Linked DNA regions of Callithrix jacchus. The protein of the gene in region 1 purifies or fractionates together with the protein of each later gene. This does not show direct contact. Links are inferred from orthologs where the notes say so. Each region holds a gene or a part of one and is shown in the gene's direction. Other genes may lie near its edges. The genes, in order: TRIM21, IFI16, ANXA2, ELAVL1, GMPS, FASN and SNAI1.

The links.
Region 2: the proteins of TRIM21 (region 1) and IFI16 purify together in Homo sapiens (affinity purification with western blotting; 3 studies listed by BioGRID, with this or other methods). This does not show direct contact. The link is inferred for Callithrix jacchus from reciprocal best matches to the Homo sapiens genes TRIM21 and IFI16.
Region 3: the proteins of TRIM21 (region 1) and ANXA2 purify together in Homo sapiens (affinity purification with western blotting; 3 studies listed by BioGRID, with this or other methods). This does not show direct contact. The link is inferred for Callithrix jacchus from reciprocal best matches to the Homo sapiens genes TRIM21 and ANXA2.
Region 4: the proteins of TRIM21 (region 1) and ELAVL1 purify together in Homo sapiens (affinity purification with western blotting; 3 studies listed by BioGRID, with this or other methods). This does not show direct contact. The link is inferred for Callithrix jacchus from reciprocal best matches to the Homo sapiens genes TRIM21 and ELAVL1.
Region 5: the proteins of TRIM21 (region 1) and GMPS purify together in Homo sapiens (affinity purification with western blotting; 3 studies listed by BioGRID). This does not show direct contact. The link is inferred for Callithrix jacchus from reciprocal best matches to the Homo sapiens genes TRIM21 and GMPS.
Region 6: the proteins of TRIM21 (region 1) and FASN purify together in Homo sapiens (affinity purification with western blotting; 3 studies listed by BioGRID, with this or other methods). This does not show direct contact. The link is inferred for Callithrix jacchus from reciprocal best matches to the Homo sapiens genes TRIM21 and FASN.
Region 7: the proteins of TRIM21 (region 1) and SNAI1 purify together in Homo sapiens (affinity purification with western blotting; 3 studies listed by BioGRID, with this or other methods). This does not show direct contact. The link is inferred for Callithrix jacchus from reciprocal best matches to the Homo sapiens genes TRIM21 and SNAI1.

Annotation. Positions count from the first base shown.
Region 1 is NC_133511.1:69,716,540-69,720,779, reverse strand, and holds the start of TRIM21 (E3 ubiquitin-protein ligase TRIM21), read left to right. Parts: upstream 1-1,304; 5' UTR 1,305-1,374; intron 1,375-3,682; 5' UTR 3,683-3,759; intron 3,760-4,240. UniProt on the Homo sapiens protein: E3 ubiquitin-protein ligase whose activity is dependent on E2 enzymes, UBE2D1, UBE2D2, UBE2E1 and UBE2E2.
Region 2 is NC_133519.1:19,040,014-19,043,799, forward strand, and holds part of IFI16 (gamma-interferon-inducible protein 16), read left to right. Parts: intron 1-69; coding exon 70-231; intron 232-1,911; coding exon 1,912-1,989; 3' UTR 1,990-3,786.
Region 3 is NC_133509.1:7,151,520-7,155,305, reverse strand, and holds part of ANXA2 (annexin A2), read left to right. Parts: intron 1-125; coding exon 126-205; intron 206-1,616; coding exon 1,617-1,676; intron 1,677-3,529; coding exon 3,530-3,623; intron 3,624-3,786. UniProt on the Homo sapiens protein: Calcium-regulated membrane-binding protein whose affinity for calcium is greatly enhanced by anionic phospholipids. It binds two calcium ions with high affinity. May be involved in heat-stress response.
Region 4 is NC_133523.1:7,539,584-7,544,054, reverse strand, and holds the start of ELAVL1 (ELAV-like protein 1), read left to right. Parts: upstream 1-1,596; 5' UTR 1,597-1,696; exon of another isoform or gene 1,697-1,865; intron 1,866-1,982; exon of another isoform or gene 1,983-2,145; intron 2,146-4,471. UniProt on the Homo sapiens protein: RNA-binding protein that binds to the 3'-UTR region of mRNAs and increases their stability.
Region 5 is NC_133518.1:29,660,030-29,664,375, reverse strand, and holds the start of GMPS (GMP synthase [glutamine-hydrolyzing]), read left to right. Parts: upstream 1-1,275; 5' UTR 1,276-1,484; coding exon 1,485-1,511; intron 1,512-4,346. UniProt on the Homo sapiens protein: Catalyzes the conversion of xanthine monophosphate (XMP) to GMP in the presence of glutamine and ATP through an adenyl-XMP intermediate.
Region 6 is NC_133506.1:137,715,950-137,720,238, reverse strand, and holds the start of FASN (fatty acid synthase), read left to right. Parts: upstream 1-1,375; 5' UTR 1,376-2,241; coding exon 2,242-2,324; exon of another isoform or gene 2,325-2,370; intron 2,371-3,067; coding exon 3,068-3,201; intron 3,202-3,964; coding exon 3,965-4,117; intron 4,118-4,289. UniProt on the Homo sapiens protein: Fatty acid synthetase is a multifunctional enzyme that catalyzes the de novo biosynthesis of long-chain saturated fatty acids starting from acetyl-CoA and malonyl-CoA in the presence of NADPH.
Region 7 is NC_133506.1:45,525,250-45,529,547, forward strand, and holds the start of SNAI1 (zinc finger protein SNAI1), read left to right. Parts: upstream 1-1,316; 5' UTR 1,317-1,396; coding exon 1,397-1,478; intron 1,479-2,158; coding exon 2,159-2,686; intron 2,687-2,766; exon of another isoform or gene 2,767-3,337; intron 3,338-4,298. UniProt on the Homo sapiens protein: Involved in induction of the epithelial to mesenchymal transition (EMT), formation and maintenance of embryonic mesoderm, growth arrest, survival and cell migration.

The DNA of each region.
Region 1 (4,240 bases):
AAGCAAAGCACACTGCCATGTGTGTACCTACGCAACTGTCTTGCATGCTCTGCTCATGTACCCCAAAACCTATAATCCAATAAAAAATTAAAAAAAAAATAGACAAATGGGTAAGGAAAGTGTGGTACACATACACAATGGAGTACTGATTAGCCATAAAAAGGAGAACCTTTCATTTGCTACAACATGGATGAAAAATAGGGGTCATTATGTTAAATAAAATAAACCAAACACAGGCAAACAACCAATTGTACATTCTCACTAATAAGTGGAGCTAAAAATTAGAACAATTGAACTCATGAAGATAGCAGAATGATGGTTACCAAAAGCTGGGAAGGGTAGCCAGGAGTGTGTAGGGGGGTGATTAATGGGTTCAAAATACATGAGATAGAATGAATAAGATCTAGTATTTTATAGCATAACAGGGTGACTACAGACAATTTATCATACATTTTAAAATAATTAAAAAACATATAATTGGATTGTTTGTAACACAAAGAAGTGATAAATTCTTGAGGTGATGGATACCCCCACTTACCCTGATGTGATTATTACAGACCGTATGCTATACCTGTGCATCAAAATATCTCATGTAGCCCATAAATACATACATCTACCACAGACACAGAAAATTTAAAATTTAAAACAAAATTACTTGGGTAAATTTTATATTCTGTGTATTTAACGATTAAAAATTAATATAACCTGAGAATGTCCCTAGCTCGGTGATAAGAACATAGTTGGTTATCAGATGTCAATTCCCTTCTCACCACTCACTGGTGGGATACTTACCTCGGGGTCATGCGAAATAAATCACTCACCTGCAGATGTTAAAAAAATAATAGTCACATCAGTCACATGAAAAGAATTAGCTTCTGGAAGTAAGAAACAGATGACGGCACGTGAGGGAGAGCACCAGCCACTATTCTCTGCATCCAACCCTCCTTAAAAGCAGCTTCCAGACATGGGCAAAGCATCTAGGTGTGGGGTGATAACCAGTGTCAAAGAAAGCAGCCCGGACTCCCCCATCTTGCAGATATTTTACTAAATCAGATAATGAAGACATGGGAGGGGGTGCGCACCCAGGACCACAGGCTACTGGGCTTCCATTACTTCCCAGTCTCATAGAAGCCCCCTGGCTGTCCAGAGCCTCTGAAGCCCCCCGCCAGCCCAACTCTGACTTCTCTCCTCCCACCTCTCTTCCTTCTCAGCGGCATTTCTCCACACACCCTTTCAAGGCTCCGCTCCTCCCACGGCTCCTCCCTCTCTCCTCTCACGGCTCCTCCTCCCTCCCCTTTCCCGTCAGACTTGCCTCTGAGCGGAAACTGAAAGTGAAATAGGGAGCTGGCTACCCGCGTTGAGTCCCCTGTAAAGGTGAGTGAACCTCACTAAATCAAGGAACCCCTGCCCTCCTAGTGGACCTCTCCCCTGCCCCAGGGCTGCAGAGCCCCTTCCAACCAGTCTCCATCCTTGAGCCGGTCCCATTTGCCCCTTCTCCCACCGGGGATCCCTCAATCCAAGCCCCTCTGTGCTTCCGAGGCTGGTCTCCTAACCTGGAAGGAGGCTGGGGTATGGACATGACTGCTGCGGAGTTACCCAGAAGGGGTAGGGTTCCGGGCACTTGGGAGGAGACTGGGGTGTGGGACGTGACTGCGGAGTTACCCAGAAGGGGAAGGGTTCCGGCTGCCCCCTACTTGGGAGGAGGCTGGGGTGTGGACGTGACTATGGAGTTACCCAGAAAGAGAAGGGGCCTGGCTGCCCCATTGCTGGCACCTGAGCTGGGATGAGAGCTGGGTGCAGCTGAGAGAGCCAGCACTACTGCCTAGCCAGGAGCGTGGGGGAGATCTGCAATCCTGGAGACTCCCAGGTCCAAAAGTCCTCCAGAGGTGAGGGGCAGGCTGCTTAGGATGTTCAACCAGAAATGTATAGGCCTTCAAAATTACTCTTTGTCATAGAAGAAGTGATGTCAGGAACTAAACTAAGTTTGGAGCAGCTGAAAGAAGAGCCCAGGGAGTGCTGGCCACAGTTCCTGTTGCTCTGTGTGAATACATTCACATATACATGCTCATGTACATACATATACACCTGACTTTTGCCAATATTGGAATGATTAATGAAGATGTATTCAAAGCATGTGTAGTATCTCTGGCACATGGAAGGTACATGGTTAAAAGTAGCTATTTTATGACTAGTTTCTCAGCAACATGGAGGCCTGCTGGTACCAGAAAGAAGATGAATGGGCACTGAGGGTTTAAGCAGGAATGGACATGAGAGAACTGTCAGCTTTATGAGGTTCTTGCCAATTTTCACTCCCTCCTTTAGGGACTCAGTTTCTCCTTCTGTCCCAGTGGATCAATGGGCCAAACAGTGGAGGAGTTCTTGTTATTCAGAAGAATAAACTTATTAAACAAACTATTTGGTCCATGCAAAAGTAATACTGTTTTTGCCATTAATTATTTTTCCATTAATATTATGCCCTTTTTTTTTTTTTTTTGGAGATGGAGTCTCCCTCTGTTGCCTGTGCTGGAGTGCAGTGGCACCAACTCAGCTCACTGCAACCTCCACCTCCCAGGTTCAAGCAATTCTCCTGCCTCAGCCTCCTGAGTAGCTGGGATTACAGGCACCCACTACCACTCCCAACTATTTTTTGTATTTTTAGTAGAGACAGAGTTTCACCATGTTGGTCAGGCTGGTCTCAAACTCCTGACCTCAGGTGATCCACCCACCTCGACCTCCCAGAGTGCTGGGATTACAGGCGTGAGCCACCATTTTTATTTTTTTATTTTCCGTTTCATCATTTTGTTTTTCTTTTTTTAGTTTTAATTTTTCTGGGCATGTAGTAGGTATATTTATGGGCTACATGGAACATTTTGATACAGGTATACAGAGCCACCATTTTTATTTTTTTATTTTCCTTTGCATCATTTTGTTTTTCTTTCTCTAGTTTTAATTTTTCTGGGCACATAGTAGGTATATTTATAGGCTACATGGAATATTTTGATATAAGTATACAATGTGTAATAACCACATCAGGATAAATGGGGCATCTAGCACCTTAAGCATTGATCATCTGTGATAAACTATGCAATTATACTCTTTCAAATGTACAATTAAATTATTGACTATCGCCACCTGTTATGCTATCAAATACTAGATCTAATTCACTCCATTTTTGTACCCATTAACCATCCTACTTTTCCCCCAACACATCCTCCCTACTATTCTTCCCAGCCTCTGGTAACCATCTTTCTATTATCTAACTCCATGAGTTCAATTGTTTTGATTTTTAGCGCCTACAAATGAGAACATACAATGTTTGTCTTTCTGTGCCTGGCTTATTCCACTTAATGTAGTGACCTCCAGTTCCATTCATGTTGTTGTAAATGACAGGATCTCATATTTTATGGCTGAATAGTACTCCATTTTGTATATGTACCACATTTTATTTATCTATGTATCTGTTGATGGACACTTAGGTTGCCACCAAATCTTGGCTATTGTGAAACATACTGCAATAAACATGAGTGTGCAGATATCACTTTGATACAGTGATTTCCTTTCTTAGGGGTATATACCTAGCAGTGGGATTGCTGGATCATATGGTAACTCTATTTTCAGTTTTTTGAAGAACCTCCAAACTGTTCTCTGTAGTGATCGTACTAATTTACATTTCCACCAACAGCTTATGAGGGTTCCCTTTTCTCCACACCCTCACCAGCATTTGTTATAGCCTGTTGGATAAAAGACATTTTAACTGAGGTGAGATATCTCATTGTAGTTTTGATTTGCATTTTACTGATAATCAGTGATGTTGAGCAACTGTTCATATGCCTGTTTGTCATTTGTATGTCTTTTGAGAAATGTCTATTCAGATCTTTTGTCCATTTTTGAACCAGATTATTACATTTTTTTCCTATAGAGTTGTTTGAGCTCCTTACATATTCTGATTATTAATCCCTTGTCAAATGGATAGTTTGCAAATATTTACTCCCATTCTGTGGGTTGTCTCTTCACTTTGTGGATTATTTTCTTTGCTGTGCAGCAGGTTTTCAATTTGATGTGATCCTATTTGTCCAATTTTGCTTCGGTTGCCTATGCTTGTGGGACATTTAAATGAAATCTTTGCCCAGTCCAATGTCCTGGAGTGTTTCTCCAATGTTTTCTTGTAGTCCTTTCATAATTTGAGGTCTTAGATTTAAGTCTTTAATCCATTTTGATTTTATTTTTGTATATGGTGAGA
Region 2 (3,786 bases), on another chromosome or scaffold:
TCTGACCTTGTAGAACATTAACTAGAAAAAAAGAACAAACATCTTTTTTTTTTTTTTTTTTTTTTTTAGGAAAGTAAAGACCCATTCCCCAAAATGAATGACTTCTGGAGGATGCCTAAGGAAACGTGGCAGTTTCCAGGACCGTCCATGACCCGCATAGGCCCAGCTGGGAGCCAGCCCCAGACTCCTCCGATGTCTGCATCAACACCATGCAGCAGTTTCTTTACCACGGTACCACTTCCTCTTCTCAGTACTTCCCCCCGTACACTACAGTGACGGAGATTAACAGAACCTTGAGAGCACTTCTCACCATTCCCCTGCTACATACAATGCTTTATTTAACCAAATCAGTCATTTATTCATCAAGTATGTATTTTGAGGTCCTATCTAAAATTAAAGTTCTCTTATTATCTTCTCTATTCCATAGCAGGTATAATTAGATGTTTGTGTACTTTTCTTTTTCTTTCTTTTTTTTTTGAGACGGAGTTTCGCTCGTTACCCAGGCTGGAGTGCAATGGCGCGATCTCGGCTCACCGCAACCTCCGCCTCCTGGGTTCAGGCAATTCTCCTGCCTCAGCCTCCTGAGTAGCTGGGATTACAGGCACGTGCCACCATGCCCAGCTAATTTTTTGTATTTTTAGTAGAGACGGGGTTTCACCATCTTGACCAGGATGGTCTTGATTTCTTGACCTTGTGATCCACCCGCCTCGGCCTCCCAAAGTGCTGGGATTACAGGTGTGAGCCACCGCGCCCGGCCCAGTTTTATTTTTCTTTTGGCTTACATTTTTACTTTTCTCTCAGTACACCATGAAAATAATACCTTAAAATAGAATAAGGTGGGAAAAAAAACAGAGCCAACGTTAACACTATCACTGATTCTTTGATTTATTATAACTCAAATAATATCATCTTTAAAAATTTATGAAAAGAGGCTACATAAGCAAAAATAATTAACTTTTAACTTTCAGAAACCTCTGTGCCACATTTCAGTACGTAGTCTTTCTGATTTTACATCTTTCATTATGTATATACAAAGAGTACTTTCCTCTCTCAGAGTAAATTACATTACACATATTTTTCTATAACTCTGGTTTTTTATTAATATATCTTGAACTTCTATTCAATCATACAATATAGATTTAAATTATTTTATTGTACCAGAAAAAGTGCATGGTTATTCCATACATTATAAGAATGGTCCTATATTACTTGGCTTTAGGTGGCTTTCAGTATTCTGTGTCTTTAAAATGGACATAATAAGAGCACGTGTCTCTTGGGTCTTTTTTCACTGCCCTCAGAGTAGCTTTATAATTTATTCCCTAGGTTCTGTGCACCTTGTGCCGGGGCATTGATCTCATGGCTACTGTGAGGAGATTTGACACTGATTTTCCTTGGGAATAGTTTCCTAATGCTGTAGAAAATTGGCCACATTGATGAGTTCATCAAAGTTAAAGCCATCACTCACAGGTGGCCGATACCATCTTCCAGGTCAGGTCACATTGAGCACTGCTGGTCTGTGGAGGCAGCTGTCCTGCCTCCATGTTCCGCTCTCTAGGACTCCCTTGATCCCTTCTTGCCTCCATACTTCCTCTTCCAGATCAGCAGCCCACCCTCAACTCTTGGGGTCGGGTGCACAGCTCCTTTCTCTCTCCTGTTGTTCCCTGACACCTGCTCTTTCACTTGTACTCATGCAGGTAGGAGTGAATATCTCATTTCACGGTCCCAATTAAAGAGAGAGGCATGACTCAAAGGTCAGGAATTGATTAAAGGAGATAGATGAGAGTGAGAAAAGAATTATTTTGAAAGGAATAGGGGAAGAGATATGGTGCATGGGGAGGAGACACTGTGATTGAAGGCAGAGATGTAGGATCACCAGCATCTCAACTGCTCTGTATCTCTTTTTCCTTCAAGGTCATAAAGAGGGAAAACAAGAAAGAGGCACTCAATCCTGATTCATATATGAAAACTTCGTCAAAGTCCTTCTTCTAAAATCTGGATGCCGTTGATAATAATGCTTATGGAGATAAGATCTAAGTGCCTACAAAATGTATATCTACCTGGTTGAAATACAACACTAGATATGCCGCTGTTATACATACCAGCTATTAATTTTTAGAGATGGGGTATTGGGAGTGCTTTTTTAATTCTTTAGGGTTTTGTATATAAGGCCATATTTTGCATCTACAACTTTTATAATTTGAACAAAACAAATAAACGTTACCTTTCTTTGTGAAAGGAATTCTTCCCCGGCAGTCTCTTTAATCCATCCATGAGTTGCTGAAAAGCAAATAGTTTGTGGTCTACAAATCTGGGTGCAGCACCCGGGCCTCTAGCTATATTTGGATTTGTACTTTGGGTGTGATCTTTACAGGATAGGCCCTAGTCAAGAATGAACAGGCTATGTTCTGCTGAGAGGAATCAGGCTGAAGGGGTAGGTAAGGGTGAAATCCAGCCTGGGGTTCGGTTGCTAAGCACTGTTATTGTTTCAGCCCAAAGCAGTAGATATCTTTTCAGAATTGGTTTCCTTGAAGGGGCATAATTGGGTAATTTTTCTGCCAAATGAGGCGCCTTCTGCTGATGTGCATGAAGGCACTTGTCTGTGTTAGAGATGTATCTGGGCCTGCCTGATGTGAAATATCTGGTTTTATTTGCTTCCTCAAACACCAACTGCTCTTCAGGCATGTTGGAACCATATTTCCTGTTTTCACAATGCACTATAGTGATCGGATCCATTAGAAAGCTGCCCCAGGCAGAACTGCATTAGGCAAACAGTGAAGATAATTGATTTTCTTTAGAATAGACTAGCTGAAAGTAGGCATCTCAAACTAGAATTTAGCCAAGTTTCTTGATTATATATTTGGTACCTGATACTTTGCGATTATTTTGTGGCACTTTATCTTCATATTAGCTCTAGAAGTTTGATCATTTTTTCCCTTTTACTCACCCTATAATATGTGACAAAGAATAGAAAGGCAAAGTCACTTTCGTAATGACACTTAGTAAATTAGAGAGATTGATTTAGAACCCAGGCTGCTGTTCCCGTTTGGGGTGTGCGTGTTGGGTGACGTGTGGGGGATGTGGTGGAAGCTGTGAGGGATGGAATGGGGACGTCTACTACTGTCCTAGGGCTTTTCTTTAGTTCAGCTAAACATGGGCGTCCTTAGCACACGGCTATGAAAAATTAGGCTCGCAGACAATCTGAAGAGTGAGAAGGGCAGAGTTTACTGGGTGAAAAGGGAAAAAAGGAAACTCTGCAAAGCCAGCCCTGCTGGTGCGCTTGGCTTCCTGCCTTGCAGTTTTAATTTCAGGTTCCACCCAGGAAGCGGAAGGGCCAGGCTCTTCCCCACTGCAAATGACGCAAACTTCTGTGGCTCCAACCCAGTGCACAGTCCTCCCGGTGTGCAGGCTGGAGTTTCTATGGGGACCCCTTCCCACCTGGCGGTGTCATTGCCCCCTCTAAGAAGTGTGCATCTAACTGCCATTAGAATAAGGACAAGGATAAGGACGAAGACCGATCTTAACTGCTTTCTGCTGACAGGGGGCGCCGTTTTGGGGAAAACAGCAAAGTCTCTCAGAGGCCTATTTAAGGGCTCCCGGCGGAGGGGGCCATTGTCTTCCTCTCCAGTTGCATGACTGTTTGGAGTCTGATGGCCTGAAGATGAGAAGAGACCAATCGTGTTATTAGAAAACATGTATCAAAACGAAACAAGGGGAGGGGTAAGAACAGTTCAAAAATCCCAAGGCCTTTGATCAGTTTGTACAAAGAGAGGGAGGCCAAAAGCCTGA
Region 3 (3,786 bases), on another chromosome or scaffold:
AGAATGGATGTATTCAGCTGACATAGCTGTTCTGCTTTTCAGAGACTTAGTGGGAAATGGGAAATTGGGGTGGGTGGTTGGCTTCACAGGCAGAAAGCATAAAACCAGATGTATTTTTCTCCAAGTGTACAAGACTGATCTGGAGAAGGACATTATTTCGGATACATCTGGCGACTTCCGCAAGCTGATGGTTGCCCTGGCGAAGGTTGGTTTCCCAGTTTCGTTCTTTGTCCTTGCCTCCTCCCAAGGCAAGTCACACACCTCATTTTAGACTTGGAGTGAATTAACTAAATCCCCTGTGCCTGCATCAGAAATTCAGCTGCATTTTCGACAGTGGGCTCGCACTGTCACTGCGGAGTTGTCAATTTTGTATAATAGGATTTCTTATCCTGCTAAACCTCATGGACAAGTGGACTTTGGGAGCAAGAGGAGGGCTGGGCAGCTCTCAAGTCCTGGCCTGGATTTACATGCCAGAGCCTTGGCCGCGTGACTTAGGGAAGGTCACTTTGCCTCTCTCTGTGGTCATGCAGGACCCAGTGGGAAGTGACCTTCTTGTTTCTTTTTCTTGCGTTCACTTCTCAAGGGAGAATTTGCCCACGTAGTCCTTTGCCTGGAGTGAAGTTGTCTTTGTTCAGCCAGTTGCTAAGGTTAACACATTAACATGGAGGAAAGGGCGCTTCCCCGGTGAATCCCTAATTCTGACTGGTGTGTCACTTAATGCTTATGTGCCAGGGGAGGGACGAGAGACTGTTTTCTCTGGGAACCCTGAAGACAAATGACAGGCGATATGCCGTCTCTGGCCCACTCATGTATCCGTTACTGCGACAGCTCCTGTGCTGCTCTCCCTGGCTCTCCTCTCTTCCCTCCCACCTCCCCGTGTACCGCCGTTCACGGATCTCTGTGAAATACGCTTTTACCACGTTACTTCCCTGTTCAAACCCATTTCTGCTGCAGCCATTGTAAACTCTTAACTGCTGGGAAAAGTCCGCTATACCCTCCCTGCATCTTCTCTGCTAGGATTCTCTGCTGCTCAGCTCTGCTCTGACAGGGCAGCTCCTTACTTACCTGGGAGCGTGCTCTGCTGCATCCGTGCTGGCCCTCGTGGGCAGTCTGGCTCTCTCTCTCCTCTTGGCTGGCTGCATCTGACTGACTCTTGAAGTTTCAGCTTCAGCCCAGCCCCATGCTTCACACCGTTTGCTGACTCTCCTCTCTGAGAGTTCTTCCTCCTCCTGGATTTCATGTCTTCCTAGTGCTTTAGGTTCCCTGGCTGCTGTACATTTGTTTCCGCTTATCCTTCCGTCTGCATTGCAAGCTTGCTGAAGGAAAGGGCTAAATCTCATCAGCTTTTTGTGGGGGATGGGGAAAGGGATTCTATAAGGTGTGTAGGCCAGGACTGGGTACCAAGGAGGGGGTTGTTGATGGAAGGCACAGCATCCACTTCCTTGCTCAATGATTTTACCATCCTTGGCTGGTCTGGGTTTCAAAGTAAGAAAAGTCTTAGGTGGATACTTATTTAGAAAATTAAGTCATGGCTTACATGGACTAGGGAGAGAACATTTTCAGTTTTAAAATACACAAAGAAATGGATTGGAAGTGCTTTTCTCCCCTCCTCATAGGGCAGAAGAGCAGAGGATGGATCTGTCATTGATTATGAACTGATTGACCAAGATGCCCGGGTAAGTGCTGAGCTTTTTGATTTAAGTTTCTGTTTTCTTGTAAGTCTCTGGATAGTCTGTATAGTAATTTAACCCTGTATAACAAATGATTTCCAAACTCTGTGATTTAAAACAACAAACATGTATTATTTCTCAGTTTCTGTGTGTCAGGAATTGAGGAGTGGCTTAGTGCACTGGTTCTGGCTCAGGGTCTCTTGAGCATCCTCACAACATGGCAGCCGGCTCTCCCCAGAGCAGGCAATCTGCGAGAGAGCAAAGAGGAAGCCACAGCATCTTTTATGACCTAGTGTCACAAGTCCCACCCTGCACTACTGTCACCAGTTTCTGCAGAGTGTGATGTGGCTGTGCACACCAATCAGGCAGGCAGGTGGGAAGCAGAAGAAGGTGGAGAAGACACAGCCAGGGACTGGACGGCTTACTGCTTCATTGTGGTTGGGGAGAAAGGGAGGACTGCTTCCAAGACTGTGCACTCACGTGACTGTTTGGTAGGAGACCTTTGATTCACTCCACATACGCCTCTCCACGGGGTTGCTTGAGCATCCTCACAACATGGCAGCCAGCTCTCCCCAGAGCAAGGAATATGAGAGAAAGCAAAGAGGAAGCCACAGCATCTTTTATGACCTAATCTCAGGTGTCCCACCCTGTACTGCTGTCATACTCTTCATTAAAAGTGAGTCATGGAGTCTAGCCCACGCTCACTGGGAGGGGATTAGGCTCCTCCTCTGGAAGGGAGGAATGTCAAAGAATTTCTGGCCATCTTTTAAACCCACTGTAGTCTGAGAGCAATGCTTATCAGAAGATACTCTCTTAGAATGCTGGCATTACTTATGGAGTCAATACCTGACTCGCACATGCTCATTCAGGCTTTGCTTGTATGGAAGCACCAGTCTCTGCAGAGTGTGATGTGGCTGTGCACACTTATCAGGCAGGCGGGTGGGAAGCAGAAGAAGGTGGAGAAGACACAGCCAGGGACAGGACGGCCTACAGCTCATTGTGGTGGGGGGATAAAGGAGGCCAGCAGAGACCTGTCCTTTTCTGGCTGAATAAAACTTTTGCCAGTTCTAGTTCGATAATCTCTGAGAACTATTTGTTAAGCTTATTCAGACTGCTGTGAACTGTATTTGTTACTCAAGGGTCAACAGTTACCTCAGTAAGTCATAAAAGCTGCAGAAAAACAATTAATTTAAATTCTTGTTAGTTTTAAATTCAGTATATTCCACACAACGCTTCTAGAAGGTAGTAGAGAAGGCTTTTAAATAAAATAGAAGTTGGATTTTGCAGTTCCCAGATGGTGGAAGGTCACGGAATGAATACCTGCCCTTGCATAAGCCTTTCTTCCTCTTGCCCTTCCTGCCATTGCTAAGGACTAGCGCCTTAATTTTCCAGAAACTGAAAATGAGGTGGGACAGGCTCCTTTTCCAGCTCCATCACTCCCTGAGTCTCTGAGAAGCTTGGGAATGGGAGCCTGGCCGTAGCTATCCAGTAAACGCTGACTAGCTTATCTGCCCTTAAATGTGCCCAAAGGGAGGAGGGCCAGATGTGCTAATTAACATCAACTTGTCTTTCTGTATGTGAGTAAAAGCTCTTGGTCCTTCCTTTCTTATTCAAGGGAGGAGACTAATCACAGACCTCACGAACTATTTGCAGTCTCCTTTGTATCCATGTGTGCCTAAGGAAGACTGCTTGTGACTAAGTATGTCTACATAGTACGTCTGTGCCCACGTGTGTAGTATAATTATTCTTCCCCATTGGGCATTATGAGCGTGCAGCTTTTCTGGTTTTTTTGCATGACAATTTTTATGATCTTATGCTGGATCGCATAGTTAACTTTTCCTGGTTGTTTGTACTTGTAGGATCTCTATGATGCTGGAGTGAAGAGGAAAGGAACTGATGTTCCCAAGTGGATCAGCATCATGACCGAGCGGAGCGTGTGCCACCTCCAGAAAGGTGGGCACTGTGCTGAGGGGGTCTCGGTGCCTTGGGGCTCTGGGGTGGCCGGGTGGATGTCCATGTTGGAGTTGAGTCTGCCAGAATGAGGTCCTGTCTCCACTTGTCACTCTTACAGGCTCATCCGTTCTCCCTCACCAGGTACCTTCGCCTTTCTCTCCCA
Region 4 (4,471 bases), on another chromosome or scaffold:
GATTCATCTAAAAAAAAAAAATTATTAGAGGGGTGTGGTGGCAGGCGCCTGTAATCCCAGCTACTTGGGAGGCTGAGCCAGGAGAATCTCTTGAACAAGGGAGGCAAAGGTTTTCATGAGCCAAGAACCCGCCACTGCACTCCAGCCTTGGCAACAGAGCGAGACTCTGCCAAAAAGTAAATAAATAAAACACATTATTACAATTAACATTACCTGTTTTTTATTTTATTTTCATTTTAAACAAGGCTAACAATTTAATCAATTTAAATTACATACCTCACTGACCAATCTGTGGCTGGCTTATACTTCTACTGCACGGTGATGACCCAGAATGCTGGCTACTTTAAAATTTAACAATTATGGCCGGGCGTGGTGGCTCGCTCCTGTAATCCCAACACTTTGGGAGTCCAAGGCAGGTGGATCACCTGAAGTCCGGAGTTCGAGACCAGCTTGACCAGCATGGAGAAGCCCTGTCTCTACCAAAAATACAAAATTAGCCAGGTGTGGTGGCACATGCCTGTAATGCCAGCTACTCGGGAGGCAGAGACGGGAGAATCACTTGAACCAGGGAGACGGAGGTTGCAGTGAGCTGAGATTGCACCACTGCACTCCAGCCTGGGCAACAATAGCAAAACTGCATCTAAAAAAAAAAAAAAATTTAACAATTACCCATGTGAGCTAGGTGTGGTGGCCTGTGCCTATAGTCCCAGCTACTTGGGAGCCTGAGGCAGGAGGATCAGTTGAGGTCAGGAGTTAATCCTGTGGGATGACTGGGCCTGTGAAGAACCACTGCACTCCAGCCTGGGCAACACAGTGAGACCTAATCTCTAATAAACTTTTCTAAAAACATATAATTAAAAAAATAAATAGGCTGAGCACCATGGCTCACGCCTGTAATCCCAACACTTTGGGAGGCTAAAGCAGGAGAATGGCTTAAGTCTAGATGTTTGAAACCAGCTTAGGCAACATAGCAAGACCTCATCTCTACAAGAAATAAAAAATTAGCTAGGCATGGTGACATGTCCTGTAGTCACAGCTACTCAGGAAGCTGAAGTTGGAGGATTGCCTGAGCTAGGGAAGTTGAGGCTGCAGCGAGCCATGATCACACCATTGCACTCCAGTCTGGGCAAGAGTGAGATCCTGTCTCAAAAAAAAAAAAAAAGGGTGGTGTGGAAGAAAAGGAAAAAATAGGCATAGTGCAGTTACACCTGTAATCCTAGCTCTTTGGGAGGCAGAGGCAGGAGAATCACTTGAGCCTAGGAGTTCAAGACCAGCCTGGGCAACAGAGCCAGACCTCATCTCTATAAAAAAAATTAGACATGTATCTTGCATCTATTTCTACTAAAGCCAGCGCTGGCTTAGAATGTTAGCCCAATAAGGCCAGGTATTTTTTTTTTCTGCTCACTGCCCATACAGTGACTGACACACAGTAGGCGCTCAATGACATTTTAATGAATAAGAGGCTGAGCTTTCAGAAACTGGCTTGCTCAAAGAGCAATGTGAAGCTGACCACGTTCCATGCCCCGCCTCCTCAGTACACCAGAGAAGGAAACTGAGGCCCGGCGAGATGACGTCAGCACCTGCTTAACGGCACGTAGTGCAGAAACATCTGGGCCGGGATTCGAACACAGGTCCTGTCCCCGTAACCTCGGCGTGCTGACCGTTCCTACCTTCATGGGAGGCGGCGGCAGTAAAGGTAGGTGCGGAACACACGGCGAGCGCTCGACTAGAGGCGCCTCTCAGTCACCGCCTTCTGTCAGCCTCCAAGGTCCAGACCCCAGCTCGCCCCCTCCGCGGCCATAGCTGGCCGCCCGCGTCTCCGCCGGTTGCGGAGTCCTTCGCAGGCGGCGCCGACCGGAAGTCCCGCCTCCCCCGCTCGCCTGGGGGCGCCGCGACAGCTACGCTGACCAATGAGCAGCACGCCATGGCGGATGCCGACCAATGGGCGCGCGCGCCGGGGGGGCGTGTCCGGGCCGCGGGCCGGAGCGGGTCGTGCGCGCTGAGGAGGAGCCGCTGCCGCCGTCGCCGTCGCCGTCTCCGCCACCGCCGCCACCGCTACCGAGGCCGAGCGGAGCCGTTAGCGCCGCGCCGCCGCCGCCGCCCGCCCGCCCCGGAGCAGCCCCGGGCCAGCCCGCCCGCGTCCAGGTGAGGCGGTGGGGAGCCTTCGGCGGCGCCCGACGGGGTAGGCCGCGGCAGGCCTGAGCTCGCCTGGCCTGGCCGCTGGGCGCCCGCGGGCCTGCACCGACTGAGGCCCAGGCCGCGCCGGACCGAGGGAGGGGACGCGCATGGGGACCGTGGCAGTCAGGCCGGGGCGGACCGATGTGGGCGCCGGCCACAGGCCCCGGGGCTGGATTCCTCGGGCACCTCGAGGGACGGGCCAGGGGGACACGGCGTGGGCACGCGCCAGGGGGCCGGGCTGCACCGCCGGGGCCCCGGTCGTCTTGGAAGCCCGGGCTCCGGGGGCGGAAGAGTGAGGCCAGCGGCGGGGGAGCGCGGGGAGCGCTTTGAGCGCGCGGAGGTCAAGGCCCACGGGCTCGCTCCCCCGGGAAATCCCACAGATTCTTTTGTGGTCGTTGTCAGAGCACCGTGGCCGGTGCGAGGTCCTTTGAGAAGCATGCAACCCTTCAGTAGGCACACTGGGAGTCCGGGGGGGTGGGGATCTAAACTGCATCTATTTTTTTTTTTTTTTTGAGCGCCATCTCTAACAAAGCTGTTTGTGGGGCGTGGGACGTTAGGATTTGTGAAATATGTGTGTGTCTTGGAGATACAAGCTGCCCGGAGTTGAACAATGGAGGATGGATGCTCTTTCTTCCTTTTCCGGTGCTCTGGGTTGCGGGGCTTGTTAAAATGGGTTTTGGTCCCTGCTGTGTGCAGGGCAGGTTGAGAAGGAGAACTTCTGCTCAACTTCTACACGGGCTTCCCGCGGCGGGACTGAGCCCCCTTGCTAGAAAGTGTTCATCTGGGATCCGGATGGCCAGTGCTCCAGAAGTAGGAAGATCAGGAGAACGATCTGGCTAGGCAGAGGTTTCTTAACGTTGGTGCTACTGATGTTTGGGGTCAGATAGTTTTTGGTTGTGTGTGGTGGGGGGGCTTCCCTGTGCAATTTAGGAAGTTGAGCAGTATTTCTGGCCTCTACCCACTAGATGCCAGCAGTATCCCCATCCCCCAAATCGTGAGGATCAACAATATCTCCAAACAGTGCCAGATGTCCGGAGTTACGTGGGGGGTGTGTGTGGCGGGGGGGGGGGGGGATGGGGGGATGGGGGGGCGGGTGGTCGCGGTCTCCTCCGCGCTCGCGCACACACACAGGTGAGAACCATCACTGAACTAAATAACCTTCCTGCAGAAGTTCCTGTAGCCCCAATCTGAGGCGATTCTCCTGCCTCAACCTCCCGAGTAGCTGGAATTACGGGCCCCCTGGAAGATGTTTCCAAGACCTCAAACATGCGCGACTCTGTTGCCTCTTAGTTTTCTTGTCTGTAAAATGGGAAGGACAAAAGTGTGGTGCACATTGAAGGGTGTGAGAAACCCGTTGCATTGCCGTGGTCTGTGCCTGGTAGGCACTGAATAAATGTTACACATAACCACCAGTTTTTATTGAGGATTTACTATGTGCTTGACACTTTGTGGACGTTCGTCTCCAGTCCTTGAGGCAGGTGATGTTACAATTTCCATTAATTTCCATTTTAGAGATGAAGAAACTGAGGCTTAGATGGGTTGCTTGATATGACCAGTCTCATGCACTAACGTGGCTGAGCCAGGGCCCTTTGATTAAAAACCCTTATTCGTAACTACCGGGTTGTGCTGCTCCTAAAATCTCAAGGCTCCAGGGCACACCACTCAGTTGTCATCGAATACCTTCTGTATGCAAAGTTCTGTGCTGGGATGTATTATGAAATTTTGCAACTTCAAAGCCCACAAAGAGTCTGAGATATATGAACGTCTCCAAATGTGGAAGGAAATAATACTGTTCATGTTGACACATTGGTTTTGAGCAGGCAGAGTTTCAGTTCGGATGTATTGAGTCTGAGATCATGGTGCTATTTCTTTTTCTTTTTATTTTTTTTGAGATGGAGTTTCACTCTTGTCACCCAGGCTGGAGTGCAGTGGCGCCATCTGGGCTCACTGCATTTGCAACCTCTGCCTCCTGGGTTCGAGCAATTCTCCTGCCTCAGCCTCCTGAGGAGCTGGGATTACAGGCGCCCGCCACCATGCCTGACTAACTTTTTGTATTTTTAGTAGAGATGGGGTTTCACCATGTTGGGCAGGCTGGTCTCGAACTCCTGACCTCAGGTGATCCACCCACCTTGGCCTCCCAAAGTGCTGGGATTACAGGCGTGAGCCACCATGCCCAGCCCTTAATGCTATTTCAAGTAAAAGAAATGAGAGAATTATGAAAACACTGGCCTCCTCGTGCTTTCTTGCCTCTCTCACTCTCTGCTTCCCATCTCTTCCCTCTTTCTACACTCCT
Region 5 (4,346 bases), on another chromosome or scaffold:
CAGTTCAAAAAAAGGTAAGAGAAATACTTGAGTCTCAGGCCCACTAGGACCTTGGGTCTTTTGTTTTTGTAAATATTTTACTAATAAACTGTCTACTCCTTCCCAGTTTGGGGAGCCCTTCCCTTCTATACTGAGAGGCACATTATCTTACTGAGCTTCAATTTCCTCATTTGTAAAAAGGATAAGAATATCAATCCTACCTTACTGCTTTCACGGGATTGGTTAAAGATAGCGAAAGTGTTTTCTCACTGGCTCCTTAATACCTTAACTAGAGTCTGACACAAGAATGACCGCAGCAAATGTTGGCTGTATTATAATATTTGTGGAAAGGCTTTGTTAGCTGGAAGCCATCTCAAGTATTATTCTTTATACACCAATACCGATTTAGGCCTGTAGGTAAGCAAATTCAAGGTAACACCTCATCTTGATGGTTGCCAAGGGGTAGGTGGAGGGATTGCAGCCCCTTTCCCACAGACAATCCCAATAAAAACACCGCTGTGCCAACAGAGCTTCATGACCAATTTCCTGACCCAGCTGCTCACCAGATGTCCACTCCCAAACTCCCTTCTCTTTGGAAGTACTGCACCTGCTGTAGAACTTTTTGTGGGGAGCTGTATAACTTTTAAAGTTCCTAAGTGATCAGGTCCTCCAATGACGTCCTTAAGATGTGGCCAAGAAACCTTCCAAAGCAGCCTTGGCCTCCCTCATGTCCGACAACCTAAGGCCACGCCACCGGCTAAGAGTTCCGCCAGGGGCCCAGCTCTCAGGAGGCCTCCTCGGTGCCGCCAGCCTCCCGTAGCCGTCCCAGGCAGCAGGCAAATCGGCCAGCGGCAAACTGGCTTGGCTGCGGCTTCGGTTTTTCTCCGGGCCGGCGCCGGGAGGCCCCGCCTCCCGGGGCGGGCTCCTCGGTGCGAAGGCGGGAGGGGCGGAGCCGATGGGCGCCGCGCGGTCTCCTCCTCCCAAGGGCGGACGGGACGGAGGCGGGCGCCGGCCTCCGTGTTACTTCTCCACGGGCAGGCCTCCGTGGCGGGGGCTGGGCCTGGTGTCGCGGGCCCCTCCTCCCAAGGGCGGGCCGCGGGAGACCCGGCCGGCTTTGCCGGCGGGGGCGGGCCTGGAGGGCGGGGACAGCCGCCGCGAGCCCCTCCTCTCGAGGGCCGGCCGGTTTGGCGGCGGCTGCGGAGGGTATCTGAGGCTCGGCTGCCAAGCTCAACGGGCTCTGGCTCCTCCCAGTGGCCGGCTGGGGCGGAAGCAAGAGGCGGGGGCAGCGTGCGCGCTGCTGGTCTCCTCTCCCGCTGCGCTGGGGCCCGCGCTCTGTGGCTGCTGCTCCTTTCGGCGCTTCTCTGGCGGCTGGCTCCTCTCCGTGGCTGGCTGCTCCTTGACCAGTCGTCCCTCTCAGCCTCGGCCCGCGGCGCCGACCCTTCCGGGACCCTCCCGCCCCGTCTCGTACTGTCGCCGCCACCGCCGCGGCCCCGGCCCTGGCCCCGATGGCTCTGTGCAACGGAGACTCCAAGGTCAGCGTGGGGGTCCCTGCCGCACCGCTTCCCTGCGGAGGCGAGGCTCCCGGACCCGGGAGCCACCTAGCGGGGCCCTTCCCCACCCCCTCCCCCCAGCCCGTCCGCGCAGCCCTGCGGCCCGGGCAGCCACGCGTCGGAGAGTCCCTGGTCGGGGCCTGTGGCATTTTTTCTCCTCGGGAGCGGCGGTGCTTTGTTGATTATGTCTGCGGGTCGAGGTCCGGGCGTCGGGGAGGGCATCGGCTCCCCGCGGCCGCCCCGCTGGCCCCTGCCTTCCCCGCGCAGCTGTGGGGCGCAAGAGCCCGCGAGCGCGGCCCGAGGGTGGGGGTAGGGAGGCGAGCGGGCTTGTGTGTCTGCGGGTCGGGCGGGGGCTTCCTCGGCTCCCAGCCCGTCCCTTTGGGAGGCTAGGGGCCTGTTGTGGCTATCCCGGGGCCCGCCGAAGGCAGGGCAGGTTCGGGGCCTCCAGTGCGGCGTTCTAGCTGGGCGATCCTCTGGTCTTCCCGCCACCCTGTTTCCCGCCTGCCCTCGGCGAGGCCCGCTCCATTCCCCCCGCCGGCCTTGGGCTCCGCGGCGGTTAGGCCGGTTCTAGACTAGCCCCGCGGGGCTGCACCGTTTTCCCCCTCCCCCTATGTCCCTGCAGGCTCGCGTGTGGGCTGGTGGCCCCGGGGTCGCGCACTCCGTTCCCCCTCCCCCATCCTCGGAGGGAAAGAATGTGTCCAGGTCCCGCCCCCGTCCAGCTCGGTCCCTGTGTAGCTTGCTGGTTTGCGGGATAACTCTCTTCCCCGCCTTTGGGGTCCCCCCCACCTCCGGAACGCGAGCCGTGCCTGTTCGCCCGAGGGCTGGACAGTCGGGAGTTCCGGGATGCTGGAAAAGTTGCCACCTTGACGTACCCAGCGAGGAGAGCGCGTTTGGCCGCTTCTGCGCATATCCTCGTCTCCAACTCACTTTTTTCTTAGACCCTTCCTCTTTCTTTCGTCCCGCTTCTGAATTGGGCACCTTCGCTTTCACTTCTGTATTAAAATTTTCATTGGCCTGGAGTTCTTTCCGACCTTTGCTAAGTCAGTTTTGCCAGCGGGAAACCGCGCAGTTTTGAATTGCGATTTACTTCAGCAAGATATACCCCCGCCTATATGCTGTTTAGGGCCTAGCTTTAGGAAAAAATTTAATTAAATTTCATTCGGGTGGGTGGGAATATATACTTCGAGTGGGATTTGGTGCTCGACCTCAGGGAGTAGTGACTTAGGCAGAATTTTAACATTCTTTTTAAAAGGAGGTGCTCAAGGGTCCCATCTTAGAGGTCCTCTTGAATGGCTGCTTAGCACCCAGTAATCTTTCAAAAAGTATTTGTTGAACAAATGAGTCAAGATTATAAGGTAGCTGATTTTAACTCTTAAACCAAGGCACCAGTGTTGCTTAGGTCCGGGAGCTCTTTCTGAGGTTTATAAAACTAAAGAAGACACACAAACCTTCTGTTTCTGACCTCAGGAGCAAATGTAAACCTCTTTGTCCAGCTCTTTCCTATATACTAGTTGACTTGCAAAGCATTTTTCTGTCTGGTTTTGAGATTTACAACTCATTGGATTCATCTTTATGCTGATAAAGGAAATAACTGGTATTAGAAGGACTCACCTGACTTATGGGTTTTGAAAACTACATAGTGCATTTGAGAGGAGTATTTTCACAAAACTAAGTGGCAGAGGAAAGTGTAAGATCTGTTTCCAGAGTATATAAGAGGATTTTTTTCCCCATAACTGATATTTTTTTGTGTGTTTTGCTAGACTTGGAATTACAAAGATAATCTTATTAGTTTGGTGAATTAATTTTATTTCAAGGTTCTTTATGTTTTATAACATAATTAAATATTTTAAAAACTATGTTAACAGTTGTAGACTGAATTGAAGCATTTTTAAGAGGAACATCTGGAGAATTAACATACTTCATCAAGTCTATGATTATTGTATGTACTCTCGAAGAAAAAAATCATGACAAACGATGACATGCCATTGATCTCAACATTTTAAGTAAAGAGATATTACATATGTGGAAATACCTTATATCACCTACTTTATTTTGCATATTTCTAAGAGGTCCACCTGGAAATAAGTAGGAGTCTTATTTTCCATAGCCTACAACTGAACCACCTTTCCCTTGGGAGGAAAGTGTAAGTGCTATATATAGGATTACTTTGTACATTGATTGGGCCTTTGCTGTGTGTATCCTAGTTCATAAATTAAAAGTTGGACAAGAGCTGGTTTTGATTCCTCTTTCTGGTACATTTCAGTTACCAGGATTTTCTAAAATGGCATTTTTGCATGATAGAAACTAGAGAGGGACCTAAAAGCCATAAAAGCATTTGGGTTATTTTAATTACTTTTTATACATAGTATTTTATTTAATTTTTAATTTATATATATTTTTTGAGGCAGGGTCTTGCCCTGTCACCCAAACTGGAGTGCAGTGGTGTGATCACAGCTCATTGCTGCCTTGACCTCTTTAGCCTCCTGAGTAGCTGGGACTACAGGCATGGGTCACCCCACCCTGCTAATTTTTACTTTTTGAGAGACAAGTCTTGCTACGTTGCTCAGGCTGGTCTGGAACTCCTGGGCTCAAGCTGTCGTCCCTCTTCATCGTCCCAAAGTGCTAGGATTAGAGGAGTGAGCCACTGTGCCTGTCCAGCATTTTGTTTCTTTATTTAAATTTTTATTTCCTTATGTTATTGGGGAACAGGTGTCATTTGGTTATATGAGTAAGGTCTTTAGTGGTGATTTGTGAGATTTTGGTATACCCATCACCTGAGCAGTATACGCAGCACCCAACTTGTAGTCTTTTATTTCT
Region 6 (4,289 bases), on another chromosome or scaffold:
CCCTTGTCCTTCCTTGACCTTCCGTCCCACTGTGTGTGAACCACAGCCCCAGGGCCAGAAGGGAAAAGATTGTGGAGTGGCCGCCTGACACTCAGGCCTGCTCCCTGGAGAGGGAGGAGGCCGGGTACCTGCAGAGGGGCGGGCAGGGAGGGGGGGGTTCAGTCTCTGGTTCCCCTTCAGTGGCCCGGGCCTGATCCCTCAAAGCAGGACATGCAGCCAGGGACACCTGTGGCCTCGCAAGGCCCGCTTGTCCCCATGGGGTGCTTGGCCCTGCAGGCGCGAGGCGGCCAGGAAAGGGAGGGCGCGCTTCAGGGTTCAGACCGCCGAGCCGGCAACCATCGGTGGTGTGGAATCACTCGGGGGAGGGAGGGCGCGAGGGCCGGGCTGAGCCCCCACCCGTGGGTACGCGCCTGGAAAACTCGAAGCCTCCGCCTAGCGAAGCCGGGCAGCGGCTCCCTTTGTTCGCATCACACCAGGTGGGTGTCCCGGCCGACAGCGCCCGCCACGTGGCCGCGCCCCACCCCTCCAGTGCGCTCCGGCAGCCTGGGGTGCGCTCGCCCATTCGGCCCCGCGGCTCGACCCCGTACCCGGGAGGCTGCCGAGAAGGGGCCGTCGGGTGAGTGGGCGTCCGTCTGGGTTTTCCGCCGGGCTCCGCAAGGAGAACCGGGGAGGCGCGGCGATGACCGGCAGTAACCCCGCTCGGGGCGCCCTCGGCCGGGGTCAACGACCGCGCCGCGCAGCACACTGGGCTGCCCCGCCGCCCGCCCATCACCCTATCGCCTAGCAACGCCCACCCGCGCGCCGCCATTGGGCCGGCGCGAACGCCCCCGGCGCCCGATTGGTCGCTGCGGCCGCCGTACCACGCCCGCGGGCAGCGTCGGCGGCTCGTAGCAGGGCGGCAGAGCTGCGGGCACGCGGGCATGTCCTTCCGTCTGTCCGCGCCTGTGGGCCCGAGCACCCCCTGAACCCCTCGCCGGGGCGGCCGCGGCGCAGTCCCCAGTGTGGTCCAAGTATTCCCATCCCGTACACGTGGTCCCGGCGGAGACCAGGCTCGGGGGCGCGCCGCGAACTCGGTCCAAACCGCGTGCGCGTCTGGGCCCGCGGGGCGGGGAGCGGAAGTCGGGGGGCGGGGTTTACCCGCGCGCTCGGCCCCCAGCGCGCCCCAGGACCGGCCCCTCCCCCTGCGCGTTGTCGCGCAGGGTCCCGGCTCGGGCGGCGGCGCGCACGGGCATCACCCCACCGGCGGCGGCGCGCTGGGTCCCGGGGCGCAGCCCCGACGCTCATTGGCCTGGGCGGCGCAGCCAAGCTGTCAGCCCATGTGGCGTGGCCGCCCAGGGATGGCCGCGGTTTAAATAGCGTCGGCGCCGGCCTAGAGGGAGCCAGAGAGACGGCAGCGGCCCGGCCTCCCGCTCCGCTGCGCTCCAGCCTCGCTCTCCGCCGCCCGCACCGCCGCCCGCGCCCTCACCAGGTACGAGCAGCCGGCGCGGGTCGTGGTCCGGGCAGGGGCCGGCGGGGTCACGGGGCAGCCGGCGCTGCATCCTCCGGTCTCAGGGCGCGCGTGGCCTGTCCCGCCCGCATCCAAGGGTCGCCTGCGCGGCCTGCCCGGGTCTCGGTGTCTGAGCCGCTTCGGAGGCGCCCGCAGCCCCACGAAGCAGGTGGGCGGATGGCGCGGGGGAAGGACGCCGGGGAGCGCCGCCAGCAGCCACGTTCGCTTCCCGGGCGGGAGGCCGCGGACCCTGGAGGCTCTGGAGGAGCTCCCGGCCCGGCTTCCCCGCGCCCACAAAGGCGCCGGGCCCTGCGCGCCGCATCCTCCTCTAGGGGCCGCCTCATAGCCGAGGCCCAGCACGACGGGGACGCCGCGAGGGAGGAAAGTGGTGGGCGCGGGTCCGCGCGGAGATCGGCCTCCGGATCACGTGGCGCCGCCGGGCCGAAGAGCAGGAGTTGCAAGCAGCCCCCACCCCGGGCAAAGGGAGGCCGGGCGCGCCACGGGGTCCCCACCCCCTTCCTGACCGTCGACTCTGCGTGAATCGCAAACTGCGAGAACCCAGCGTGCGGGCCTAGAGCCGGCGCCAGCCTCTGAATCGCGGTGTGGGGGGAAGGCGGCCACCTCCCTGCCGGAACGGCCCGGGCACTCCGCAGCTTGAGGGAGGCTGCAGTGCCTAGAGGCGGCGTGTGCATCCAGTCCCGGGGCCTCGTGCAAGTGGCCAGGCCGGCCCTCTCCCCGCGGGCTGCACCAGCCCCATGCTGGATCCACAGCCGGCAGCCTGGGCCCGGGTTCGAGGTCTTAGGGACCTGGGCCCCAGGGAGGGCCTGCTGCTGTCTGGGTCAGTATGGGGAGGCAAGCAAATGTCCGCGGGTTCACCTACACAGGTGAGGGGTGCCGGGGAACACCATCCTGGCCAGGAGCGGTTCTCCAGGTTAGATCCTGCTCTAGGGGTTGGACAGGCTAGGTTGGTCCTCAGTGGGGCAGGGGCCATCTTTCCCCCAGAGCACAAGCCTATCTCTACTTCGTCTCTGGTGACTCCTGGGCTGGCCTGGACATTGGGCCTCCACTCCAATGTAGGTGGACATGGGTGCTGAGTACCCCCTCTAGGATTCCCTGCCACCTCCATGAGCCCTCTGGTCCCTTTTCCAGCCCTGGCTTTGGGACCCTGCCTCAGGCTGGCCACCTGGGACCTCGTCCTCATCTGGGGTGGCCCTGCGTGCTCCTCACTGTGAGCCCCTGGGCACCCCTAGAGATGGCCCCAGACAAGCTGCAGGAGCCTTTGAGGGCTAAGGCTCGGTTGAGGGGAAGCCAGCACAGGCGCAAAAACCTCAGACTGCAGTGGAGGTCAGGGCAGCAGGGCCACAGTGGGGTCCCCAGGCCAATATCCCATACTGAATGGGTCAGGGCCCAGAGGTGGGCCTGTTCCCAGAGCATGCAGCCCCTCGCAGTGACAGTGGGGCCAGGGCTTGCACAGATCCTCAGGCTGGCTCACCCTATGGGTGGCCACCCGTTCAGTGAGCTGAGGCTGCTGACGGGTGTCTCAGCCAGAACACCTGGGACACTCACACCTCCGCCCTACAGAGCAACCATGGAGGAGGTGGTGATCGCCGGGATGTCCGGGAAGTTGCCAGAGTCGGAGAACCTGCAGGAGTTCTGGGACAACCTCATTGGCGGTGTGGATATGGTCACGGACGATGACCGGCGCTGGAAGGCGGGTGCGTGGCTGCGGGGCTCCCTGTGGCCGGGGTGGGTCAGCTCCACCTTCGCCGTCACACCGGCCTCCCTGCTGTGCTGTGTCCCCACCACCCAGGCACTGGCCTGAGCCTGGTCCCAGCTGCAGAGCCACTGGTCACCCCTGGGCGAGGCCAAGCTACAGCCTCCTTCCTGGAGACCGCACCAGAGTGGCCTAGAAAATGGGCCCAGCCAGCCAGGAGGCTCCCCCAACAGCTGCAAGGCCCAGGGCCGAGCCAGGCAGGGCCCATGTGCCTGTTACAGAGAAGTCAAGCTCAGAGGATGGGTGATGGGTTGGGGTCTCTTGACAAGGGGGCAGAGCCCTTCCAGCCAGGCTTCCCCCCCGCCTGTGTCCTGAGCTGGCAGGTTGCATACCAGGTGCGCTCTGGGAGGCTGATCCAACTCCCCCACGCCCAGTAGGCTCTTCCACAGAGCAGCTCTACCTGACGGGTGAGCTGTGAGTCAGCATGGTGGAGCTGAGGCATGGGCCGGGCAGAGGGTCCCCCAGCCTCACTCCCACCGAGCTCTCTCTGCTCTGGGGCCCATCTCAGGGTTGGGCCTGGGGTCTTGCACAGGAGACCTCAATGTACCAGTTTTGTGGCCACAGTCCTCCCCTCCTGGGGAGCCTGTTCCATTGCTTGGGCCTCCCTGGTGTAGCAGAGACTCCTTAATTCCCTGCAGCACCCCACAGGGTCCCCACCTCCTGGCAGCTTCAGTCAGAGAGTTAAACATCTGCCTGTCCCATAGGGCTCTATGGCCTGCCCCGGCGGTCTGGCAAGCTGAAGGACCTGTCTAGGTTCGATGCCTCCTTCTTTGGGGTCCACCCCAAGCAGGCACACACGATGGACCCGCAGCTGCGGCTGCTGCTGGAAGTCACCTACGAGGCCATCGTGGACGGAGGTGGGTTGGCATTGGTGATGCTGTGCCCAGGGTTTCTGCTGCCACGTAGAACAGGCAGTGCTCTCTTCTTGGTGCTGGTAGAACTGGGTGCCGGCACCACTTGCCTTCCCTGGCCATGTCCCTGGCCTGGCCAACGGGCTCTGGGAGGTGTAGGTCCCTGGGTAGGCCGAGG
Region 7 (4,298 bases), on another chromosome or scaffold:
TTGTTGGTTGGGGGGAGGGTGCGTAAAGGTGTTCATGGTCTTCCTTCACAGATGGAAACAGGCATGGCGAGACCTGTGGGGTTTATTTCAGCACCACCCCTGGGCCTGGCATGCCTCCAGGGAAGCTGGGGTAGGGGTGCAGCTGCTCCTCACCTGGGCCCACCACACATACATTCAGTCAGGGTCCCTTAGGAGCCGTGAGAGCCTGTAGACAGGATGGGGATCTTCAAAGGGCTCAGGAGACACACCGGCCTCATCCCAACTCTTTGCCGGCCTACGGGGATCTTTTTCAAGGAAACTCTAACCAGGTACCTCCTCAGCTGAAAATCCTTCGGTGGCTCCCCAGTGCCCTTGAGGCAAAGTCCAGATTCCTCACATCTGACCCCTCCGGGCCTGCCCACCCCACCCCATCCCTGGGAGCTGCTCTCCAGGAGTTACTCGGAAGCAGTTGCCAGTTCTTCCCTCGGGCCTTTCCCCTTGATAATTCTTCACTTCCTCTGGGCAGTCACCCCGACCCCCTGTCAGGTGACCCGCCTCTTAACGGTCGCCGCGTCCCGTCTCTCCCCCACCAAAGCACACTTCCCTTTGCATTGTAATTGTCTGTTTACTTCAGCTGTCTCCCCCATTGGACGGGTAGCTAAACTTCGAGAGAGGCTCTGAGTGTCCTGTCCAGGGCTGTGCCCCGGCCCCAGGTACAGTGCCCCACACGTGCTGGACGCTCCGTAAACACTGGCTAAGGGAAGGAACGGGCGCACTTCGCTAGGCTGCTTTGCAAAAAAGCCATGGCATTTCATGCTGCCAAGAGCCACGTGTAGTGTCCGTTTCCTCGCATCCTCCCCAGCAATATGCATTTCCCTCCTCAATGCCACGCTCTCCAGGCGCCAGCCGGGCGGAGGAAATTTCCGCCCCCTCCCAAGCCCGAGGCGGGGGCGGGCTTCGGAAGGTCAGGTGTCCCGGCCCGCGCGCAGCGCCAGGGGGCGTCAGAAGCGCTCCGACCGTGGGGCGCTGAGCGGGTGGGTGCGAGGGGTCCCGCCTCGCAGGGGCCTAAATGCGCCCGATGTCCCGCCCCGGACAGCCCCAGCACTGGGAACGACCAGCGCTGCGCTCCCGAACCCCGCCTTGCAGGAGCCTCCGCCCGGGCTCCCAGCGCCACGCGGCGCGAGCCGGGTCCGCCCCCGGCGCACCTGCTCGAGGCGTGGCCTTCGGCGGAGACGTGCCTCCGATTGGTGCTGAGGTGACAAAGGGGCGAGGCAGATAAGACCCCTCCCCTGCCGCCCCCTGGAGTATTTAAGGGAGTTGGCGGCGCGGGTGCACTCATTGCGCCGCGGCACGGCCTAAGCGGTGGTTCTCCTGCGCTACTTCTGAGCGACTCGGCGACCCCGGTGCGTTGGCCACCATGCCGCGCTCTTTTCTTGTCAGGAAGCCCTCCGACCCCAATCGGAAGCCTAACTACAGCGAGCTGCAGGACTCTAATCCAGGTGCGTTGGAGGGGTCCCGGGCTCCAGGAGATTTGGGGGAGACAGGCGAAGGCTGCGTGGGGGGCACCTGAAGGAGGCGGCCTGCTTGGGCCAGGATCGATTCGCAGGATGTTTTGTGGAGCATTGAGGGCTCGGGCTCGGGAGACCGGGCAGGTAGGTCTCCAGTCCCAGGGATCTATCTGAGTGGTTTGGGGGGTGCCGTGTAGCGGGCAGGGGTCTTGCGCTTGGGGGGCCTTTGTAGCCTGCGAGAGGCGCAGGAGCTCCCGAGGGGAAGGAGGCCTGTGCCAGGAGGGCCCGCCGGACGCTGCTGGGGAGAGTCCGGAGTCCAGAGTGTTGAGGAGAGGGGTGGAGAGACCAGATGTGTGTGAGGAGGGGGACTGGGGTGGAGTGGTGGCTCGGGGGCTGGGGTAATGGGCTTCTGGCTTCAGGCTGGGGACTTGGGACTCAGGAGACCGAGATCTGGAAATGACCCTCTTCAACTGGGGGTCCTACCTGTGAGAGACTCAGGTTGGGTGACCTGGGCGAGGAGGGCAGGAATTTGGTCTGCCCTATGGATAATTTTATTGATCTAATTATGTGTTGAGAGTCAGCCTCACCCAGCCCCTGGCCAGCGGTGGGCTCTAGTTTGTTGATTGAGTGAATGATTTAATTAACGCCTGACTCTGCTCTTTCTCCCTCAGAGTTTACTTTCCAGCAGCCCTATGACCAGGCCCACCTGCTGGCAGCCATCCCACCTCCGGAGATCCTCAACCCCACGGCCTCGCTGCCAACGCTCATCTGGGACTCTGTCCTGGCCCCCCAAGCCCAGCCAACTGCCTGGGCCTCCCTTCGGGCCCAGGAGAGCCCCAGGGCGGCAGAGCTGACCTCCCTGTCAGATGAGGACAGCGGGAAAGGCTCCCAGCCCCCCAGCCCACCCTCACCGGCTTCTTCGTCCTTCTCTTCCACTTCGGCCTCTTCCTTGGAGGCCGAGGCCTATGCTGTCTTCCCAGGCTTGGTCCAAGTGCCCAAGCAGCTGGCCCAGCTCTCTGAGGCCAAGGATCTCCAGTCTCGAAAGGCCTTCAACTGCAAATACTGCAACAAGGAATACCTCAGCCTGGGTGCCCTGAAGATGCACATCCGAAGCCACACGCTGCCCTGCGTCTGTGGCACCTGTGGGAAGGCCTTCTCTAGGCCCTGGCTGCTGCAAGGCCACGTCCGGACCCACACTGGTAAGTGCCCCTCCTGGCCCGCCCCACTGCTTTCTCTGCCAGCTTTTGTGAATCTGGGCTTACTTTTCTCATTCTCAAAGTTGTAGACACGGAGGCCCCGAGTCTCCTAACTTCTAACTCAAGTTCAGGGGCCCGGCTCTCTGGAAACGTTTGGCAGAAATGTTCCTTCATCAGCTAAGCAGATGGGCAAAGCAGACACCTTTCCAATCCCCTGCAGCCAGCTTCTCAGCCAAATGGGTAGGAGCTGGATATGGGAAAGGTGCCACCAGCACCTTGTGGTGGTGGCCAGGTGCGAAGGGGTCCGCCTGGCCCCACCCTCTCCTGATCCACCCCTCCCTAGCCAGACAGGATGTTGTCAGACCCCCCCCCCACCTGGCTCTGAATCCTGCTTTGAGAACTTTCTCAAAGCTTGGTCTGATGTTTCACTTCTGTGAGCCTCATTTTCCCTATCTTTCAGATGGGCATGAGAACAGCCTATGGGGTTTCTATGCAGGCTAAATGCAGGAATGCGTATGGGAAGCACCTGGCAAAGTGCCTGGTACCTGCTAAATGCTCACAAAAATGCTTCCTTGCCGTTTGCTCGGCTTCCCTGCTGTGTGACTTTGGGCAAGCAACTTAACCTCTCTGAGCCTCAGGGGAGGATTATGATAGGTAAGTTTTAGAGAGTGACTGTGAAGGTTGATAATCACTTTATGCTAATCACTTTGCAGTAATTTATCATACCTGGTGGTTCTCTGGTCTGCTTCCCCACCCCCACTCAGTCCTATCTGGCAGACCAGGAAAGGCATCTTTGGGGCAGACAGCGCAATCATGTCTTGGTGTCTTGAAAATTTACTAAATGCGTAGGAAACTTTCTGGACGTGGAGAAAAGGTAGAACTTTTTAGAACTTGAATGGTGGTGACCACCATGCCCAGAGCTGCTCTGGAGAGTGACGGTTGAGAGAGGAGATTCCAGGGGTTCACCCCGGGCAGGTTCTGCCATTTCCTGACCCAGCACCTGACCTCGGAGTGGTGAGGGTCAGTGCGGTGTCTGGAAGGCCTGGCCTTTTGCAGGCTTTATTGGCATCTTACTCAACTAAGGCTACCCATTTCTCTTCCTTTGTGCACCCTTAGCCCTGATTTTAACATGTAAAGGTCCAACTGCCTGGCCTTCTGGGTGCCTGCCTAGCTCACAGGGCTCTATTTTGGGAGCGTTGAACCCCTCAGGGTGCTGCTCTGCTGTCCCCCCTCCCTTGCCCCCAATCCGGCATTATTTTAATGTAAAGGCACGGCTGGGACACAGAAATGTATCACTGCTGTCCTCATTGACTCCCATTGTGTGCCTTAATGGTGGGCCCAGTGGGTGGGGGCTGGGAGGAGCAGAGCAGGTGCATGGGGCAGCGGTGCCCAGCACCTGTTCCAGTCGCAGCTGCTGGCCCAGTGCATGGCAGGCCCCTTTAATCCGGGGGTATCGCATGTACGGTGCCCCCCTCGGTGGCCTTTGTCCCCGCCGGCCTGGTGCCGATTTCACACTTGCCAGGAGAACCATGAAGGCGTCTGCGGGGCGCGGGATCTGAGAAGTGTAGTCTTCGACTCCTGCATGTGCACACAGCCCCACTCCCAGAGCCCATCA